Linked DNA regions of Anolis sagrei. The main gene of each other region encodes a partner of the protein of the gene in region 3 in a complex. Links are inferred from orthologs where the notes say so. Each region holds a gene or a part of one and is shown on either strand. Other genes may lie near its edges. The genes, in order: RRS1, RPF2 and HEATR3.

Region 1 (7,076 bases), on a different chromosome or scaffold from region 3:
ATCTGTTTGAAATCACATTTACAAAAGAGTTGGATTGACAGAAAAAACGCAGTCCATGCAGTCACACTTCAGCTTTGACTTTTAGGGGAAACCAGGTTCTTTAAAATATTGTATTTACTAAATGTTATATATGTAGTATATACAGCTTCAATGTATATAAATGCTGTGATAGCATCCTCCAAATACACTGCAAATGTGATGGTTTCTGGGTACAGTACTTCATCTAGAACACTACAGTACTTCATCTAGAAAAATAAAGAGTGTTTCTTATCAATTCTGAGTGTTGCCCAAAACATTTCATTTGAGTGGTCAAAGGTTTTTTAGAACCTGGAATTATAATAGTCAAAATTCCAAGTACCATAGGCATTCACATGTCAATCCAGATGATAAAGTCACATAACTTATTTTTCTTTCAAAACCAAAAAATAAAACAAACTATAAACACAAAGGAAACTTTTTCAAAAATGTAAACTGTCATCACAAAGAAACTTTTTAAAAAAAATTGAACCACAAGTGTTGCTTTTATACTGCAGAATTAATGAAGGTTGACATAATTTTAAAGTGCCAGGGCTCGATGCTATGGGAATACTGGGAGTTGTAGTTTGGTAAGGCATAACACTCTTGGTCAGGATTCTTCAGAACTGAGTCACGGCAGTTATCAAACTGTAATCCACAGCATACATCAAAGAAGGCAGAAGAGCTTGTAAAAGTACAACTCCCAGGTTTCCCTAAGCACTCAGCCACAGTGATCCATCTGTATTAATGTTAATCAGTGTTATACTTATAATTTATTTTAAAAAACTGCTAACAAAGTTTAAAACTTGGCATTATGCTAAATTTCCTTTGACCAGAAGCTGGACACTTTGAGTGCCTCTGGTGTCACTGTAAGAAGGTCCTATGTTGTGCATATGGCAGGGCTCAGACTGCATTGTAGTAGGTGGTCTGTGGTTTGCATGTCATATGTTGTGGACTCAGCTTTGAAGCCCCATTTCTAAAGGTTAGCTCTGCATCTCGTGGTGCCAGACCACAGCCTGTTCAGCACCTGCCAAACTGCCCAGTCTTCTGTGTGCCCAGGAGGGAGTTTCTCATCCGGCATCAGCCTCTGATTGAGGTTCCAGGGTTTCCCAAACTCTGCTCTATCCAGACTATTGGGACTTCCACTCCCAGAAACTCTGACATTGGCCAAAGGCAGCTGTGACTTCTGGGAGTCAAAATCCCAAACACCTCATGGACTAGATAAAATAGAATCATAGTTGGAAGAGACCTCATGGGCCATCCAGTCCAACCCCTGCCAAGAAGCAGGAAAATCGCATTCAAATAACTCCTGACAGATAACCATCCAGCCTCTGCTTAAAAGCTCCCAAAGAAAGAGATTCTACCACACTCTGGAGCAGAAAGTTCCACTTCTGAACAGCTCTCACAGTTAGGAAGTTCTTCCTCATGTTCAGGTGGAATCTCCTTTCCTGTAGTTTGGAGCCATTGTTCCGTGTCCTAGGGTCCTTCCACACAGCAATATAACACAGAATATCAACACAGAATAACCTACAATATCTGCTTTGTGGCGCCCCTGGTGGAGCAGTGGATTAAACCACTGAGCTGCTGAACTTGCTGACCAAAAGGTTGCTGGTTCAAATCCAGGGAATGGGATGAGCTCCCGCTGTTAGCCCCAGCTTCTGCCAACCTAGCAGTTCGAAAACATGCAAATAGGTACTGCTCCAGTGGGAAGGTAATGGAACTCCATGCAGTCATGCTGGCCACATGACCTTGGAGGTGTTTATGGGCAACACTGGCTCTTCAGCTTAGACATGGAAATTAGCACCAACCTCCAGAGCCTGGCACGACTAGACAATGTCAGGGAAAACTTTTACCTTTACCGATCTGCTTTGAACTGGGTTATCTGAGTCCACACTACCATATATCCCAGTTCAAAGTGGATAGTGTGGGATTTTTACTCAGCTGTGTGGAAGGGGCACTAGTCTCCAGAGCAGCAAAAAACACGCCTGCTTCCTCCTCCCTATGACTTCCTCTCACATCTTGATACATGGCCCTCATGTTTCCTCTCGGCCTTCCCTTCTGTAGATTAAATATGCCCAGTGGATTGGTGTAAGTTTTTCGGGCTGTATGGCCATATTCCAGAAGCATTCTCTCCTGACGTTTCCACAATATATTAAACATGCACAGCTCTTTAAGACGAAACGTTTGCGGTGGGACAAAAAGCCAACGGGATTTTGACCTGCATCCATAGGAGTATAGTGTCTAGATCCAGGGAAGTCATGCTATCCCTCTGTTGTGCCTTGGTCAGAGCACACTTGGAATACTGTGTCCAGTTCTGGGCACTACAATTGAAGGGAGATGTTGACAAGCTGGAATGTGTCCAGAGGAGGGCGACTAAAATGATCAAGGGTCTGGAGAACAAGCCCTATGAGGGGCGGCTTAAAGAGCTGGGCATGTTTAGCCTGAAGAAGAGAAGGCTGAGAGGAGACATGATAGCCATGTATAAATATGTGAGAGGAAGTCAGAGGGAGGAGGGATATATTATTAGCATATCATTATTATATTATAGTACAATGAAGAAATCCACCAGCCGTGAATTGATTCAATCAAGGAATAATAGTTAGGAGGAACCATATGGGCCATCAGGTCCAACCACATGGATCTCTTGCAGGTAGCTGTCCAGCCTCTTTTTGAAGACATTCAAGGCCGAACAGGGCATAGGGTTACAGCCTGTGTTAGACGGGGTTACATTCCCCCTGAAGACGCAGGTTCGCAGCTTGGGAGTGATCCTGGACTCATCGCTGAGCCTGGAACCCCAGGTCTCAGCGGTGGTCGGGAGAGCTTTTGCACAATTAAAACTTGTGCGCCAGTTGCGCCCGTACCTTGGGAAGCCGGATCTGGCCACAGTGGTCCACATCCCAATTAGATTACTGCAACGCACTCTACGTGGGGTTGCCTTTGAAGACTGTTCAGAAACTTCAATTAGTCCAACGGGGGGTGGCCAGATTACTCACCGGAGCGTCATACAGGGAGCACACCACCCCCCTGCTCTGTCAGCTCCACTGGCTGCCGATCCAGTTCCGAGCACAATTCAAAGTGCTGCTTTTGACCTACAAAACCCTTTACGGCTCCGGCCCAGCGTACCTGTCCAAACATATCTCCTTCTACGTCCCACCTCGGAGTTAAGATCTGCTGAGGAGGCCCTGCTCTCGGCCCCACCTTTATCACAAGCAAGACTGGTGGGGACGAGGGACAGGGCCTTCTCGGTGGTGGCCCCTCGCCTGTGGAATGCACTCCCCGGGGAAATTAGGACATCAACATCCCTCCTCTCCTTCAGAAGGAAGCTAAAAACCTGGATGTGGGACCAGGCCTTCAGGTAAGCTGGCAAATGGACAAAGACAACCAATAATGACCAGAGTAGGAAAGGACAATGACGATGCTAAATGGTTTACGGACTTGGATTTGGTGAACATTGACCACAAGATGTTTTTATTGCTGCTAGTATACTGTCAATTGTTTTAATTAGTTATAACTGTGATTTTATATGGTAAATTTGTGTGTTGTATATTGTATTGTATGTTGTAATTGTTAGGCATCAAATTGTGCCTTGTGTAAGCCGCCCTGAGTCCCCCCTAGGGGGTTGAGAAGGGCGGGGTAGAAGCACCCCAAATAAATAAATAAACAAATTGTATATGTGTATAATATTTATAATATTATGTGATGCAATACAAAACTAATAATAATACAATAATATAATATATATTTAATATTACATGTAATATTACTAATAATATTACAATATAATGGTATTGTACAAAATAGTAATATACGTATAATACTGATATTGTGCTATGCTAATAATATAATATATTGAATGTGTGTATGTAGATAATAAATATAAATGCCGCAAATAAATAAATATATAACGGGCTGGTGCAGCAAACATAATCTCAGTGCTCCACAACATCCCCCTCCCGTGAGAACCTACCCTAGCAGAGAGATGCATGCTGGGAACTGTAGTTTTTACAAAGTGGGCTGTGCATTGGGGGAATCTCGCTTGAGAAGGTACATCCGGTGACGCACCGGAAGTAGAGCCTGATAGCTCCTAGCGTGCGGAGAGGGAGATCCAAGATGGCGGCTGCCGGCGCGGCGACGGTGTCCGTGGAGGATCTGCTGGCGCGCGCGGAGGAGCGCGAGGCGGACGAGCATCGGCGTCGGGGCGTGACGGTGCAGAAGGAGCTGGAGCTGGAGTTCGACGCGGGCAACCTGCTGGCGCTGGACAGGAACCCTGCCCCGCGCGCCGTGGCGTCGGGGAAAGCCGCGGAGTCTGAGCGCGAGGCGGCCCTGCGGTGCCTGGCGCGCGACAACGCGCAGCTGCTGGCGGCCCACCTGTGGGCGCTGCCCTCGGAGCGGTCGGAAGGCGGCGCGGGCCCCGTGGTGGCGCGCCTGCCGGAGCCCGCCACGCGCCTGCCCCGCGAGAAGCCCCTGCCCAAGGCCAAGCCCCTCACGCGGTGGGAGCAGTTCGCCCGCCTCAAGGGGATCCGGCCCAACAGGAAGAAGCGCGGCTCTCTGGTCTGGGACGAGCAGGCCAAGGAGTGGCGCCGGCGGTGGGGCTACCAGCGCGCGGGGGGCAAGGAGCCCTGGATGATGGAGGTGCCCGACTCGGCTGACCCTTCCGAGGACCCCTACGCGCGCAGCAGGAGCGAGAAGCGCGAGCGCGTGGCCCGCAACGAGCTCAACCGCCTCCGCAACCTGGCCCGCGCCCACAAGGCGGAGATGCACCCCACGGGCAGGCAGGACAAGGCCGAGCTCGCCCGCGCCGCCACCCTCGCCCGCGCCGCCACCGCCTCCAAGGGCCGCTTCCAGCCCCGCCTGCCCCGCGAGGACCCCCACGCGCCTCAGCGCAGCCCCGGGAGGAAGAGGCACTTCCAGCCCCTGCTCGGGGACCTCCAAGCAGAGAAGGCCCGCCACCTGGAGCTGGCCAAAAGCCTGGGCAGCAAGAAGCCCCTCATTAACATCGCCCGCGCTGTCGGGAAGCAGCTCCGGGAGGAGGACGAGGAGGCCAAGGCCCGAGGAGGAGGGAAGGGGAAGAAGAAGGGCCAGCGCGGGAAGAGGGCCAGCAAGCAGCAGCAGAGGCCTCGGGGCCCCAAGGGCAAGAAGGCCGCAGGAAGAGGAGGAGGAGGCGGCGGTGGGAAGGCCAGGAGGAAGAAGTGAAAGCCCGCACATGTACTTTTGCTCTCAAAATAGGAAAACAGTGGCCTTGGGTTTTCTGACCACAATAAAGACAGTGTCCTGGGATGTTGTGATTCACCTCCTTGCAGTCTTGAACCTGTTGAATAGGCATGGGCAAACTTTCAGGTGTTTTCGACTTAAGCACCTACCATTCTTGAGCAAACTTGGGTCCTCCATGTGTTTTGGACTTCGACTCCCACCATTCCTAACAGCCTTAGGCCCCTTCCTTTTTCCCTCTTAGTCGCTTAAGCCCAAACACCTGGAGGATCCAAGTTTGCCCATGCCAGTGTCCTGGGATGTTGTGATTTACCTTCTTGCAGTCTTGAACCTGTTGGATAGGAATGGGGAAACTTCCAGGTGTTTTAGATTTCAGCGGCCACCATTTTTGAGCAAACTTGGGTCCTCCATGTGTTTTGGACTTCGACTCCCACAATTCCTAACAGCCTTAGGCCCCTTCCTTTTCCCTCTCAGTCATTAAGCCCAAACACCTGGAGGACCCAAGTTTGCCCATGCCACTGTCTTGGGATGTTATGATGCACCTTCTTGCAGTCTTGAACCTGTAGAATGGGTATGGGCAAAGTCCCAGGTGTTTTGGACTTCAGCTCCCACCATTCCTGGGCAAACGTGGACCCTCCAGGGGTTTTGAACTTCAACTCCCACCATTCCTAACAGCCTTAGGCCCCTTCCTCCAACCAAAATTTGGAAGAGTCAAGTTTGTCCATGCCAGTGTCCTGGGATGTTGTGATGTGCCTTCTTGCAGTCCTGAACCTATAGCACAGCCATGGGCAAACTTCCAGGTGTTTTGGACTTCAGCTCCCACCATTCTTGAGCAAACTTGGGTCCTCCATGTGTTTTGGACTTCGACTCCCACCATCCCTAACAGCCTTAGGCCCCTTTCTTTCCCCTCTCAGTTGCTTAAGCCAAAACACCCGGAGGACCCAAGTTTGCCCATGCCAATGTCCTGGGATGTTGTGATGCACCTTCTTGCAGTCTTGAACCTGTAGAATAGGCATGGGCGAACTTCCGGGTGTTTTGGACTTCAGCTCCCACCATTTCTGGGCAAACGTGGACCCTCCAGGGGTTTTGGACTTCAACTCCCACCATTTCTAACAACCTTAGGCCCCTTCCTCCAGCCAAAATTTGGAGGACTCAAGTTTGTCCATGCCAGTGTCCTGGGATGTTGTGATGTGCCTTCTTGCAGTCCTGAACCTATAGCACAGCCATGGGCAAACTTCCAGGTGTTTTGAACTTCAGCTTCCACTATTCCTGGGCAAACTTGGGTCCTTCGTGTGTTTTGGACTTTGACTCCCACCATTCCTAACAGCCTCAGGCTCCTTCCTTTTCCCGCTCAGCCACTTAAACCAAAACAGAGGACCCAAGTTAGCCTATGCCTTCCATAGAGTCACCAAACTCCCAGGATTCCCAGTTTCCCCAGGCCTGGTGTAGATGCACCTATAGCTTTTGTCTTTCCCCTGAAGTCCTACTTTTATTTCCCAATGAGTCACAATGATGCCTCCAAAGTAGCAGATCCTTGGTCCAGTTATCATAATTCAGGAGGAAGTTTGCTTCCTATATAGGAGGAAGGAAGGCCAGGAGGAAGAAGTGGAAGCTGGCACATGTACTTTTGCTCCCAAAATAAGAAAACAGTGGCTTTCGGTTTTCGGAACATAATAAAGACAGTGTCCCGTGATGTTGTGATGTGCCTTCTTGCGGTCTTGAACCTGTAAGACAGGCATGGGCAAGCTTGGGCCCTCTTGAGTGTTTTGGACTTTGATTCCCACCATTCCTAACAACCCCAGACTCCTTTTCTCCCTGAGGCTGCGAGGAATGGTGGAAATCGAAGTCCAAAA
Region 2 (7,256 bases), on a different chromosome or scaffold from region 3:
AAAGCACTTCCAGATCAGCACAGTATCTTTCAACATAAAACAGGAAAATGTGCAAAGCAAGAAGACAGGTAGAGCTAGACAATCACACTTTATGAAAATGCTGGGATAGGAGAAAATATAGAACTCAGAGGCGTGTTTATTAAAGAGTTATGTGGTGTCTGTTGGGAAAAGGGAAATCAAACATTCTGAATACAGCTCTTGGGAGCTTAAAACGTGGATGAAGTCCAGAGACACATTTTTAAGTGATATATTAATACACTGTGTGGGATCAGCATAATTATCTGTTATAGAACTTTATATTTTCTACTCTATATGTTTTCACTTAATATTGATAAGGAGGATTCAGTCAAGCATTACTACATTGAACCCCAATATAGTGGTCATCCTGAAGGCCAGCCACCACATCTATGGGGAGATCCTAAGGATAAGAGGAAAAGGCGAGCGATAGGTGCCCAAAGATTGGAATTCAGAGTGGATGACTTCCATCTTTTTCTCACATACACACTGTTTGGAAGTTATGTGAACCACAACAGACCATGGGGGCTGAAAATTGGCCTTTGGACTTTTACTCTGTCCAGTTGTCATTTAGACTATCCTGAAATGAGATGAAACTAAGGTGCAGGGTTATGCAATAGGAAACATTGCCCTTTTCTTCTGTGTTTTGCCCCTTTTCAACACAACAGGAAAGGATATACCACAATTGTTCTTAAGATCTAAGCTGTTGAGTTCAAGCAGTCAGGACTCTGCTGGCTTCCCAGCTGTCCGTTAATTTACATGCATTTGGTCCTTGTTTTTCTACCCTTCAGGTTAGCAAAATAGCTAACACAAAAAGTATATATATTAAAAACAACATCTCATAGGACTGAAGGGTTTTGACTTATCCCACAGTTATGTACATTCTTTGACGTTACCAACAGGCTTCTAACATTGACTAGTCCAACAAGGCTGAAGTTACTTTAGTGCAGGAGTGCAACTTGAGAAGTTATAGACTGGAACTACCATGATTCTTAACAATGTTCCCATACTTACCTATTTTTAACTGCTGTTTTGTCTTTATAGTATGCCCAAGACAAAATAGTTTCAGAATTTTCTAAAACATGCTGGATGAGTTAATTAATAAATACAGTCACTCCACCAATTTTGTTTTTTATCCTATATTTTGTTTCTAGTATCTCTCTCCCTTTTCCCTCTGTCCTTGAACAAATTCTTCAAAGACAGGCTCCAATATGAAGCAGCTGAACAAAAATGAATAAAGTGATTTACATTACCTCTCAGTTAGTTTGATAAACCTGTTTGTTTGTCCTTCTTCCTTTTCTGTTTTGGCTAAATGCCGTACCCAACCACACAAGTATATCATAATAAGCCCACTGAAACTACCATCCATGCCTCTAATTAATTGGGCCATGGTACATCAAAGGTTATGCCGTATGAAAGATCTTGAAGGTGCCACACTGAAAACTGAGATGGCCCCTACACCTCCAAGAATTGTAAAGAGGAGGTAATTTCAGCAGGCATTACATCAGAACTTTCTAAAAAATTCACATTGGTGACACACCATTTTTAGACATGGAGCACTCTCTAGCCTTTAAGCCAGTGACACTACCTGCTACCTGTTTTTGTTATTTTGGGGGGTCCCAAGTGCCCTAAAACACTTGTGAATGGATACCACCCCTAATTTAAGAGCACCCAAACTCCCTGCCCCTCTGAGGCTGGATTTACTCTGCCATATAATCAAGATTATTTGATCTGAACTATGTGGGGCTGGATCTACACTGCCCTATATTGCAGGATCTGGTCCCAGGTTATCTGATTTGAACTGGATTATATGAGTCGCTGCCAGATAGTCTGGGACAAGAAAATGATCTAAGGCCTCTGAGTTATGTAAGTTCACACTGCCACACATTCCGGTTCAAAGATGATATTTTGCAATTTTCTGCCTTGATATTCTGAGTTATATGGCTGTGTGGAAAGGCTCTGAGGCCCCTTCCACACAGTTGAACAAAATCCCACAGTACCTGCTCTGAACTGGGTTATATTGTTGTCGAATATGCCCCCCACCCCCAATAAAAGATAGTTTATAATTTGGGAATTCATAGTTTTGCCAAGGACATCAGGCTGGAATGATAAAAGTTAAGTTTTGGCAAATTTGCAAAAGGACTAATAACCACAACATGTTAGATGGTGTGTACATTTAATCAAGATTTATGCCCTATATTTCACATATTTAAAACAAAAGGTAACTGCTATATTTACTGGAAACCCTGTCACAAAAAGCCAATTTTTCCCAATCCTGCATGCTCCCCTTTTCCTTTATGAACTCTATATATGCCCTACATCCCCAATTATTATATGTATGTCTGTATAAAATATCAAGCAAGGTGACCTCTTCATGAACTATGACCAGTATCTCAGGACTCAGGTATTGCAGAATTGTTGTTGTTGTTGTTGTTGTTGTTGTTGTTATTATTATTTACGATACTTATATACCTGGAAATTTCCTGGGTCTTCAACCAAGTTTGGGAGGGGTGGTGTTGAATGCTCTCATTAAGGAGGCCAGACTTGGTGGAGGTGGTTGACAGGGGCTGTAGGCTATTGAAGGCTGCTCTGCCCTCTGCTGTGCTCTTTGCTTCAGTGTGAGCTAGGAGGCAGGTTTCAACCCCTCCCCCCCCCCCCCCGAATTTTTTTTCTGGCTACGGCCCTGCCAGCCTCTGCCTTGGCAGGGCCCCCTAAAATCGTGCTCTGCATCAATATGGCAGTGTGGACTTAGATAACCCAGTTCAAAACAGATATTGTGGGATTTCCTGATATTCCGGGTTATATGGTCGAGTGAAAGGGCCCTGGGATCAGATTCTGGCATATAAGGTCCAGCCTGAGTCTACATTCCCATATAATCCAGTTCAAAGCACATGATCTGAATGTATATGGCACTGTAGAAGGGGCCTCATTTGGGGTCCTTCCACACAGCCCTACACTGCAGAATATCAAGGCAGGAAATCCCACAAGATCTGAGTGTGGACTCAGATAACCCAGTTCAAAGGAGATATTGTGGGATTTTCTGCTTTGATATTCTGGGATATAGGGCTGTGTGGAAGGGCCCTATGTTATCTAAGTCCACACTGCCACACATTCCAGTTCAAAGCAGATATTGTGGGATTTTCTACTTTGATATTCTGGGATATATGGCTGTGTGGAATGTCCCTATGTTATCTAATGTTATTATTTTTATTGTTTTGTATTACTTCTTGTTATTATTTTTATTATTGATGTATTGTGGGCTCGGCCTCATGTAAGCCGCACCGAGACCCTTGGGGAGATGGTAGCGGGGAATAAATAAAGTATTATTATTATTGGGTTGTTGTAGGTCTTTTTGGGCTATATGGCCATGGTCTAGAGACATTCTCTCCTGACGTTTCGCCTGCATCTATGGCAAGCATCCTCAGAGGTAGTGAGGTCTGTTGGAACTAGGAAAAGGGAGTTTATATATCTGTGGAATAACCAGGGTGGGACAAAGGACTCTTGTCTGCTGGAGCTAGGTGTGACTGTTTTAACTGACACCTTGATTAGCATATAATGGCTTGACCATGGCCATATAGCCTGAAAAACCTACAACAACCCCATTATTATTATTATTATTATTATTATTATTATTATTATTATTAGAGTCCACAGTGCCATACATTCCAGTTCAAAGCAGATATTGTGCAATGTTGTGCCTTGATATTCTGTGATATAGGGCTGTGTGCTTTTCTCTTGTTTTCTGTCACATTGTTTACCAGCCAATTTCATAGATGTCTACTTAAGAGATAAGTCCCACGGAGTTTAACAGGACTTGCTTCCAGGTAATTATGCTCTTAATACCTGATGGAAGGCTTACTGTAAGCATCCTTCGAATGTCAATTCAATACCGGAAGTGTTGATAAGTCTACTTCGAACTCTACTCTATGACGTGTTCGTCTCCATAGCCCCGCATTTTTTCTAGAGGTAAAAAGTGACCATTTTCAACCGATAGTTCAGGTTTCCTTTCGGATGCCGCCTTGTTTGGAAAAGGAGAGTCTGAACTGTGCTGAACAGAAGTGCGGTGCTATCTTAACAGAGACCCTTTCTTGGAGTCCAGATTGGACTCTCGGATGTGGATACAGTTTACGATATAGAGGCAGGAGTGTAAATGTGTTGCAAAGGGGGGGAGGGGGTTAGAATCCAAGTTGCGAGGAGCTGAGATTTTCCTATCTCTACGTTCACGTTCCGGATGTGACGACACAAAAAGCTACATTTCCGGAGTACTTGTTTAATGGTCCCACGTGGAGGCAGCAGAAGTTTCAGGCATGGAGGCGTTGGATCGAGTAGAGTGAGTCTCACCGTTGCTTGTGTAGGCCTGGTCAAACTTGGGCCCTCTCTCCAGGTGTTTTGGACTCCAACTCCCATCATTCCTAACAGCCTCAGGCCCCTTCCTTTTCCCCCTCAGCCGCTTAAGCTGAGGGGGAAAAGCGGCTTAAGCCGCTTAAGCGGCTGAGGGGGAAAAGGAAGGGGCCTGAGGCTGTTAGGAATGATGGGAGTTGGAGTCCAAAACACCTGGAGAGAGGGCCCAAGTTTGACCAGGCCTGTGCTTGTGTCACATTGAACTTTGGGTTGTTTGTTTACTTTAAATTTAGTTATTTCATGTATTTATATGCTGTCTTTAAAATAGGACTCGAGTCTGCTTCCAGAGATATATGTATGTCATAATAAATTGTGGCAAGTTCTTGGTGGTATGGGCATCCCAAATCACCTTGTCTTTCTCCTGAGGAATCTGTATAAGGAGCAAGTAGCAAGAGTAAGAACTGACCCTGGAACAACAGACTGGTTCAAGATTGGGAAAGGCGTACGGCAGAGTTGTATACTCTCACACAACCTATTCAACTTGTATGCAGAATACATCATACAATATGCAGGGGTTGATAAATACAAGGCTGGGGTGAAAATTGCTGGAAGAAACATTAACAACCTTAGATATGCAGATGATACCACTTTGATAGCCGAAAGCGAGGAGGAGCTGAGGAGCCTTCTAATCAAGGTGAAAGAAGAAAGCGCAAAAGCTGGGTTGCAGTTAAACATAAAAAAAAACAAGATTGTGGCAACCAGATTGATTGATAACTGGCAAATGGAAGGAGAAAACGTGGAGGCAGTGACAGACATTGTATTTCTAGTTGGAAAGATTACTGCAGACGCAGACTGCAGCCAGGAAATCAGAAGACACTTATTTCTTGGGAGGAGAGCAATGACTAATCTCGATAAAATAGTAAAGAGTAGAGACATCACACTGGCAACAAAGATCCGCATAGGTAAAGCAATGATATTCACCGTAGTCACCTATGGATGTGAGAGCTGGACCTTAGGGAAGGCTGAGCGAAGGAAGACAGATGCTTTTGAACTGTGGTGCTGGAGGAAAGTTCTGAGAGTGCCTTGGACCGCAAGAAGATCCAACCAGTCCATACTTCAGGAAATAAACCCCTACTGCTCATTGGAGGGAAGGATATTAGAGACAAAGATGAAGTACTTTGGCCACATCATGAGAAGTCAGGAAAGCTTAGAGAAGACATTGATACTGGGGAAAATGGAAGGAAAAAGGAAGAGGGGCCAACCAAGGGCAAGATGGATGAATGGGGTCCTTGAAGTGACTAGCTTGACCTTGAAGGAGCTGGGGGTGGTGACAGCTGACAGGGAGCTCTGGCGTGGGCTGGTCATAGAATCAAAGAGTTGGAAGAGACCTCATGGGCCATCCAGTCCAACCCCCTGCCAAGAAGCAGGAATATTGTATTCAAATCACCCCTGACAGATGGCCATCCAGCCTCTGTTTAACCATGAGGTCCATGAGGTCACGAAGAGTTGGAAGTGACTGAACAAATGAACAACCACAACATATACATACATCCAGATATGTGCTTGCTTTCAAGTTGCTTATCCACTTGTGGAAGCCCCATTCATTTCATGGGGTTTTCTTAGGCAGAATATTCAGAAGAATATCCCTTCCTCTGAAACACAGCCCTACAGCAGTCTTCGGTGGTCTCCCATCCAAGGCTGAGCCCTGCTTAACTTCCAAAATCTATCGCCTTTAGTATGCCAGCTGTTGACCGAGGGATGAATTTGTTTTGTGAGCCACCCCAAAACCAGCGTTTTTGGAATAGTTATATGAAAAATAGTTATATTTTTGTGAAAATAACCATGATGAAGGTAACTGGAAGGGACAAACACATCTACAAGGAACATTAGCCAAAATGTCAGTCAGGTTGCAAACTGCCTTTGGTGTCGATTAGGAGAAAAACTGGTCAATAGGTAAAGATAAAGGTTTTCCCTTGACATTAAGGGCAGTCGTGTCCGACTCTGGGGGTTGATGCTCATCTCCATTTCTAAGCCGAAGAGCCGGCATTGTCTGTAGACACCTCCAAGGTCATGTGGTCAGCATGACTGCATGGAGCACTGTTACCTTCCCGTGGGAGCAGTCAATACAGAAGTAAATGAAAACAGGCAGTCCCCAGGTTACAAACAAGACAGGTTCTGTAGGTTTGTTCTTAAGTTGAATCTGTGTCTAAATCAGAACAAGCAATTTTTAAAAAGTGTAATTCCAGCCATTTTTTTAAGTTTTGGAAAGGATAGGGAAGGGTTAATACCCCTGTGGTGTTTGCTTTGCTGTCTTGCTACTGTTGGAAAGTTTTCATCTCACTTTTTGTCCCTGTGATAATTGGATTTTGAAAAATGTGGTTTGTTTTGGAAACAAGGATTGGTGAGAAAGCTTCAGTGGAGACACCTTTTCCCCATGACAACTCTTCCAGGAGTGGATTTCCTTCCGAGGGGTAGATTTCTTCCACTTCCTGTTGTCTCACCTCTGTTCTCAATGTTTGTAACTCAAGGACTGACTGTAAGTACATTCAAATACTTGGTGAAAGTTAACATTGTGACAATAATATTCTCATGGCAGAAAACCCAAAACCAAGAGGGCAAAAAGGTTTCTTGAAAAAAGGGAGCCAAAGCTGACAGAAAATACCAAGAATGCTATGCTCATAAAAGGTGGAAATGCAAATACAACCATCACCGAAGTACTAAAAGACATTGTAAGTATGTTTGGGAATATTTGTGGAGCTGGGGCTATGTTCTGTTGTGTTACATAGAAAGGTGATTTAAAGTACTGATTCTCAAACTTTAGCCCCCTAGAGCACTGTTTCTTAAGGTTGGGACTGTGGGTCCCAACCTTAAATAGCGTCCCCTTAGCTAATTGCTGGGGT
Region 3 (7,513 bases):
CAAGCTTGTTTTCTGCTTCCTTGAAGACTAGGACGCAGAACAATGGCTTCAAACTACAAGAGAGGAGATTCCATCTGAACATGAGGAAGAACTTCCTGACTGTGAGAGCCGTTCAGCAGTGGAACTCTCTGCCCCGGAGTGTGGTGGAGGCTCCTTCTTTGGAAGCTTTTAAACAGAGGCTGGATGGCCATCTGTCGGGGGTGATTTGAATGCAATATTCCTGTTTCTTGGCAGGGGGTTGGACTGGATGGCCCATGAGGTCTCTTCCAACTCTTTGATTCTATGATTCTATGTTATTTTCCTCCAAGTAATCCTGGATTTGATCAGCTATTATGCCTGTCAACAGTTGTTGTTGTTATTATTATTATGACAATAAGTTGTTGTTATTGTTATTATGATTCTCTCTAGAAGGAGACTTGGGTCCCTTCTACACTGCCATATAATCCAAATTATCAAAGCGGATAATCCATGATATCTGTTTTGAACTGGATTATATGAGTCTACATATTATATTATCTAATCCAGTTCAAAACATACAATCTGGATTTTATATGGCCATGCAGAAGGGGCATCTAAGTGCAAATCCCATAAACTGGGTGGTAAGAAAGGACCCCAAGCCATAAACAATGGGGAAGGACACGTTTCCTGGAGCTGCTAGGAATGGTATGGACTCTTCCAAAGTATATTGCTCTGGCTGTTTCTAAACAGAGGCTGCGTGGCTATCTGTCGGGAGTGCTTTTATTGGGTGTCCCTTCCTTATAGAATGGGGTTGGGCTGGATGGCCTTTGGGGACCCCTTCCAACTCTAGGATTTTGCCTTAGATGTTATACTACTCACCGAAGCGCTCCCGTCGCCGTCTCTCGAACCGCCAGGCTCTGATCGAGCAGCATGGGCCCCAAACACCGGACCACGTCCCTCTGCACAAAAGCCGGGATTGTCTGTTTCTGCTGCAAGAGCTTGGAAATGCTGGCGCAAGCAAATTCCCGAACGTCAGCGCTGGGGTGCTGCAGCTACAAAGAGGAAAGAAGGGGCACGGTTTGAGAGATGCAGGTGCCAGGTAACCCAAAGTAGCAAGATCCCTTCGCCAATGACTTATGGGACTTAGCTGTAGGACGTTGTGTGTTGGAGGAGATGGCAAGGACCTTCTCTGCGGTGGCCCCCGGTTTGACAATATCTACTCTTTAGTGGCCTGATTGGCACCTACATGCACAAATCTACACATTTTAGGCAATAAACCAACCCAAAAACATCAGGTTCGATTAAACTTCGGCCCTCCCGGTGTTTTGGACTTCAACTCCCACAATTCCTAACAGGAATTGTGGGAGTTGAAGTCCAAAACACCAGGAGGGCCGAAGTTTGCCCATGCCTGCTTAAAGCTTTCAGATACGAGGATTTTCCAATGCAGCCTAGGCTCAACACTGCTGTATAATCCAGATCATAATATACTTCTAAACTGCTAGATAATCCAGTTCAAACCGGAGAATCTGGTTTGTAGTGTAGATGGGGCCCTTGAACTGCTAGGGATTAACCTGGGGATTTCTACCTGCAACCCCAGACCCTTTCTACACTACCATATATAATCCAGATTACCTGCTTTGAACAGGATTCTATGGCAGTGTAAACTCCTATAATCCAGTTCAAAGCAGACGTGGATCATCTGCTTTAATAATCTGGATTATACGGCAGTGTAGAATCCTATAATCGAGTTCAAAGCAGATACGAACCATCTGTTTGATAATCTGGATCATATGGCAGTGTAGAAGGGGCCTCTGGATTATATAGCAGTGTAGATTCATATAATCCAGTGCAAAGCAGATGTGGATGATCTGCTTTGATAATCTGGATTATATGGCAGTGTAGACTCATATGACCCAGTTTAAAGCATATGTGGATGATCTGCTTTGATAATCTGGATTATATGGCAGTGTAGACTCATATGATCCAGTTTAAAGCTGATATGGACGATCTGCTTTGATAATCTGGATTATACGGCAGTGTACACTTATATGATACAGTTTAAAGCAGATGTGGAACGCCCGCTTTGATAATCTGGAGTATATGGCAGTGTAGAATTCTATAATCCAGTTCAAAGCAGATATGAATCATCTGTTTGATAATCTGGATCATACAGCAGTGCAGAAGGGGCCTCTGCACCATTATATGGAAGTGTAGACTCATATAATCCAATTCAAAGCAGATGTGAATTGTCTGCCTTGATAATCTGGATCATATGGCAGTGTAGACTCATATAATCTCGTTCAAAGCGGATGTGAATAGTCTGCTTTGATAATGGCTGTGTAGACTCATATGATCCAGTTCAAAGCAGATGTGAATAGTCTGCTTTGATAATCTGGATTATATGGCAGTGTAGACTCCTATAATCCAGTTTAAAGCAGATATGGATGATCTGCTTTGATAATCTGGATTATTTGGCAATGTAGACTCCTATAATCCAGTTCAAAACAGATGTGAATTGTTTGCTTTGATAATCTGGATTATATGGCACTGTAGACATATATGATCCAGTTTAAAGCAGATGTGAATCGTCTGCTTGGATAACCTTGATTATATGGCACTGTAGACTCATATAATTCATTTCAAAGCAGATATGAATCATTTGCTTTGATCATCTGGATGATATAGCAGTGTAGATTCATATGATTCAGTTCAAAGCAGATGTGGACCATCTGCTTTGATAATCTGGATTATATGGCAGTGTCAGGGGGAAACCACCATTCCCTTCTCCCTAACCATAGCAGGATTCCCAGAGCTGGCTGGACCCTGCAGTATCCCTGTGGCCATCCTTTCTTTGCAGCTTACTTTCTCCAGCAGCTCCTCGGCTGGGGACCCGCCTTCCTCCTCCTCCTCTCCTTCCTCCTTCTCCTGGCCCTTCTCCTGGCCCATCTTCCCCACCGCGGGGCTGTAGGGGGCCTGCCGGAACCGCCTGGCCTTGCTTTTGCCCATGATCCCGGAGGGAGACCCCAGGAAGGAGGCGGAAAGCGGGGACCAGGCCGGCCTCTTCCCCCCTCCTCCTCCTCCTCCTCTTCCCCAGTTCCCACGTGTGCGGCTCCTGCGCATGCGCCACGCAAAGGCCCAGCACAGCTCTGCCCAGAGGCTGCAAATACACTCCCTTCTCTTCCGGACTACAGCTCCCAGCATCCCCTACACCAGACCCTTGAGGGGAGGAGGAGAAGGCTCCAAATGCACTGCTTTGAAACTGCAAGCATTCTTCTTGGATTTGTTTGAGAGCATCCCAATCCATGCAGATTTCCAATTTCCTGTTATTGGACTGCAACTCCCAGGTAGATAGATAGGTAGATAGATACACAGGTGGGTAGATAGGTAGGTAGATAGCTAGGTAGATAGATAGATAGATAGATAGATAGACAGACAGACAGACAGATAGATGGGTAGATAGGTAGATAGGTGTATAGGTAGGTAGATGGGTAGGTAGATAGGTAGGTAGATAAGATAGGTAGGTGGATAGATGTATAGGTGGGTAGATAGGTGGATAGGTAGGTAGATAGCTAGGTAGATAGATAGATAGACAGACAGGCAGACAGACAGATAGATGGGTAGATAGGTGTATAGGTAGGTAGATGGGTAGGTAGATAGGTAGGTAGATAAGATAGGTAGGTAGATAGATATATAGGTGGGTAGATAGATGGATAGGTAGGTAGATGGGTAGGTAAATAGGTAGGTAGATGGGTAGGTAGGTAGATAGATAAGATAGGTAGGTAGATAGGTAGTTAGATATATAGGTGGGTAGATAGGTAGGTAGATAGGTGGATAGGTAGGTAGGTGGATATGTATATAGGTAGGTAGGTAGGTGGACAGGTAGGTAGGTAGGTAGGTAGGTGGATATGTATATAGGTAGGTAGATAGGTGGACAGGTAGGTAGATAGGTAGGTAGATGGGTAGGTAGATAGGTAGATAGATTAGGTAGGTAGGTAGGTAGGTAGGTAGATAGATAGATATATAGGTGGGTAGATAAGTGGGTAGATAGGTAGACAGGTAGGTAGGTAGATAGGTAAGATAGATAACATAGAAAGATAGATAAGATATATACATAAGACAGAAAGATGAGACAGAGAGATAGATAAGATAGAAAGATAGATAGATTAGACCAGTGTTTCTCAGCCTTCCTAATGCCGTGACCCCTTAATACAGTTCCTCATGTTGTGGTGACCCCCAACAATAACATTATTTTCCTTGCTACTACATAACTGTCATTTTGCTACTGTTGTGAACTGCGATGTAAATATCTGAAATGCAGGATGTGTTTTCATTCACTGGACCAAATTCGGCACAGATACCCAATATGCCCAAATTTGAATACTGGTAGGGTTGGAGGGGGTTTTATTTTGTCATTTGGGAGCTGTAGTTACTGGGATTTATAGTGCGCCTATAATCAAAGTTCGAAAACATGCAAATGTGAGTAGATCAATAGGTACCGCTCCGGCGGGAAGGTAACGGCGCTCCATGCAGTCATGCCGGCCACATGACCTTGGAGGTGTCTATGGACAACGCTGGCTCTTCGGCTTAGAAATGGAGATGAGCACCACACCCCAGAGTCAGACATGACTGGACTTAATGTCAGGGGACTACCTTTACCTTTACCTATAATCAAAGCAAAGGATCCAGCAAAGGATCACCGCCTTGTCGGGGCGCTGGAGCTTGAGCACCTCAATGATGTCATGAGCGAAACCGTGAAGGGACACCCAAGACGGGACGGTTGTGGCAGAGAGGTCAGACCAAGCGTGATCCCTGGGGAAGGCAATGGCAAACCACTCCAGTATCCTTGCCAAGAAAACTAAATGGACCAGTACAACCAGAGATATGTCGGTATGCCATTGGAAGATGGGACTCCCAGGTCGGAAGATGGCCAAAATGCTACTGGGGAGGAGCAGAGGATAAGTTCAACTAGCCCCAGATGTGATGACGCAGCTAGCTCAAAGCCGAAAGGAAGGCTAGCGGCCGACGGTACTGGAGGTGAACGACGAATCCGATGCTCTAAAGATCAACACACCATAGGAACCTGGAATGTAAGATCTATGAGCCAGGGCAAATTGGATGTTGTTATTGGTGAGATGTCAAGACTAAAGATAGACATTCTGGGGGTCAGCGAACTGAAATGGACTGGAATGGGCCACTTCACATCAGATGACCACCAGATCTACTACTGCGGACAAGAGGAACATCGAAGAAATGGAGTAGCCTTCATAATTAATAAGAAATTCGCTAAAGCGGTGCTTGGATACAACCCAAAAAATGACAGAATGATCTCAATTCGAGTGCAAGGAAAGCCTTTCAACATTACAGTGATCCAAATATACGCCCCAACCACAGCTGCTGAAGAAGCAGAAGTAGATCAGTTCTATGAGGATCTGCAGGACCTACTGGATAATACACCAAAAAGAGACATTATTTTCATTACAGGAGACTGGAATGCCAAGGTGGGAAGTCAAATGACAACTGGGATCACAGGCAAGCATGGTCTGGGAGAACAAAATGAAGCGGGACGCAGGCTGATAGAATTTTGCCAGGAAAACTCGCTGTGTATAACGAATACTCTCTTCCAACAACCTAAAAGACGGCTTTATACATGGACCTCACCAGATGGTCAACACCGAAATCAGATTGACTACATCCTTTGCAGCCAAAGGTGGCGGACATCCATCCAGTCGGTGAAAACAAGACCTGGGGCTGACTGTAGCTCGGATCACGAACTTCTTATTGCCCAATTTAGAATAAAACTAAAGAGATCAGGGAAAATACACAGACCAGTTAGATATGATCTCACTAACATTCCTAGCAAATATACAGTGGAAGTGAAGAACAGATTTGAAGGACTAGATTTAGTAAACAGAGTCCCAGAAGAACTATGGACAGAAGTCCGAGACATTGTTCAGGAGGCGGCAACAAAGTACGTTCCAAAGAAAAAGAAAACCAAGAAGGCAAAATGGTTGTCTGCTGAGACACTGGAAGTAGCCCAAGAAAGGAGGAAAGCAAAAGGAAACAGGGATAAGGGGAGATATGCCCAGTTAAATACGCAATTCCAGAGGTTAGCCAGAAGAGATAAGGAACTATTTTTAAATAAGCAATGCATGGAAGTGGAAGAAGACAACAGAATAGGAAGGACAAGAGACCTCTTCCAGAAAATTAGAAACATTGGAGGTAAATTTCAGACAAAAATTGGTGTGATAAGAAACAAAGATGGCAGGGACCTAACAGAAGCTGAAGAGATCAAGAGAAGGTGGCGAGACTATACAGAAGATCTGTATAGGAAGGATAATAATATTGAGGATAGTTTTGACGGTGTGGTGAATGAATTAGAACCAGACATCCTGAGGAGTGAGGTGGAATGGGCCTTAAGAAGCATTGCTAACAACAAGGCAGCAGGAGACGACGGGATCCCAGCTGAACTGTTTAAAATCTTAAAAGATGATGCTGTCAAGGTGATGCATGCCATTTGCCAGCAAATATGGAAAACACAAGAATGGCCATCAGACTGGAAAAAATCAACTTATATCCCCATACCAAAAAAGGGAAATGCAAAAGACTGCTCCAACTTCCGTACAGTGGCCCTTATTTCTCATGCCAGTAAGGTAATGCTCAAGATCCTGCAAGGAAGACTCCAGCAATACATGGAGCGAGAGTTGCCAGATGTTCAGGCTGGGTTTAGAAAAGGTAGAGGAACGAGAGACCAAATTGCCAATATCCGCTGGATAATGGAGAAAAGCAGGGAGTTTCAGAAAAACATCTACTTCTGCTTCATTGACTATTCTAAAGCCTTTGACTGTGTGGATCATAATAAATTGTGGCAAGTTCTTAGGGGGATGGGCATACCAAGCCACCTTGTCTCTCTCCTGAGGAATCTGTACAAGGACCAAGTAGCAACAGTCAGAACTGACCACGGAACAACAGACTGGTTCAAGATTGGGAAAGGCGTACGGCAAGGCTGCATCCTCTCACCCAACCTTTTTAACTTGTATGCAGAACACATCATGCGATGTGCGGGGCTGGATGAATGCAAAGCTGGGGTGAAAATTGCTGGAAGAAACATTAACAACCTCAGATATGCAGATGACACCACTCTGATGGCCGAAAGTGAGGAGGAGCTGAGGAACCTTCTAATCAAGGTGAAAGAAGAAAGCGCAAAAGCCGGGTTGCAGCTAAACATCAAAAAAACCAAGATTATGGCAACAAGAATGATTGACAACTGGGAAATAGAGGGAGAAACCGTGGAGGCCGTGACAGACTTTGTATTTCTAGGTGCAAAGATTACTGCAGATGCAGACTGTGGCCAGGAAATCAGAAGACGCTTACTTCTTGGGAGGAGAGCAATGTCCAATCTCGATAAAATAGTAAAGAGTAGAGACATCAGACTGGCAACAAAGATCCGCCTAGTCAAAGCCATGGTATTCCCTGTAGTCACCTACGGATGTGAGAGCTGGACCTTAGGGAAGGCTGAGCGAAGGAAGATCGATGCTTTTGAACTGTGGTGCTGGAG

The links.
Region 1: HEATR3 (region 3) and RRS1 share a complex: the UniProt entries of both Homo sapiens proteins name them as parts of the hexameric 5S RNP precursor complex. The link is inferred for Anolis sagrei from reciprocal best matches to the Homo sapiens genes HEATR3 and RRS1.
Region 2: HEATR3 (region 3) and RPF2 share a complex: the UniProt entries of both Homo sapiens proteins name them as parts of the hexameric 5S RNP precursor complex. The link is inferred for Anolis sagrei from reciprocal best matches to the Homo sapiens genes HEATR3 and RPF2.

The regions. Positions count from the first base shown.
Region 1 is NC_090024.1:45,535,356-45,542,431, reverse strand, and holds the start of RRS1 (ribosome biogenesis regulatory protein homolog), read left to right. Parts: upstream 1-4,064; 5' UTR 4,065-4,125; coding exon 4,126-5,208; 3' UTR 5,209-7,076. UniProt on the Homo sapiens protein: Involved in ribosomal large subunit assembly. May regulate the localization of the 5S RNP/5S ribonucleoprotein particle to the nucleolus.
Region 2 is NC_090021.1:93,052,371-93,059,626, reverse strand, and holds the start of RPF2 (ribosome production factor 2 homolog), read left to right. Parts: upstream 1-4,243; 5' UTR 4,244-4,288; coding exon of another isoform or gene 4,289-4,322; coding exon 4,323-4,345; intron 4,346-6,952; coding exon 6,953-7,085; intron 7,086-7,256. UniProt on the Homo sapiens protein: Involved in ribosomal large subunit assembly. May regulate the localization of the 5S RNP/5S ribonucleoprotein particle to the nucleolus.
Region 3 is NC_090028.1:31,600,344-31,607,856, reverse strand, and holds the start of HEATR3 (HEAT repeat-containing protein 3), read right to left. Parts: upstream 3,068-7,513; 5' UTR 2,965-3,067; coding exon 2,821-2,964; intron 1,011-2,820; coding exon 838-1,010; intron 1-837. UniProt on the Homo sapiens protein: Plays a role in ribosome biogenesis and in nuclear import of the 60S ribosomal protein L5/large ribosomal subunit protein uL18 (RPL5). Required for proper erythrocyte maturation.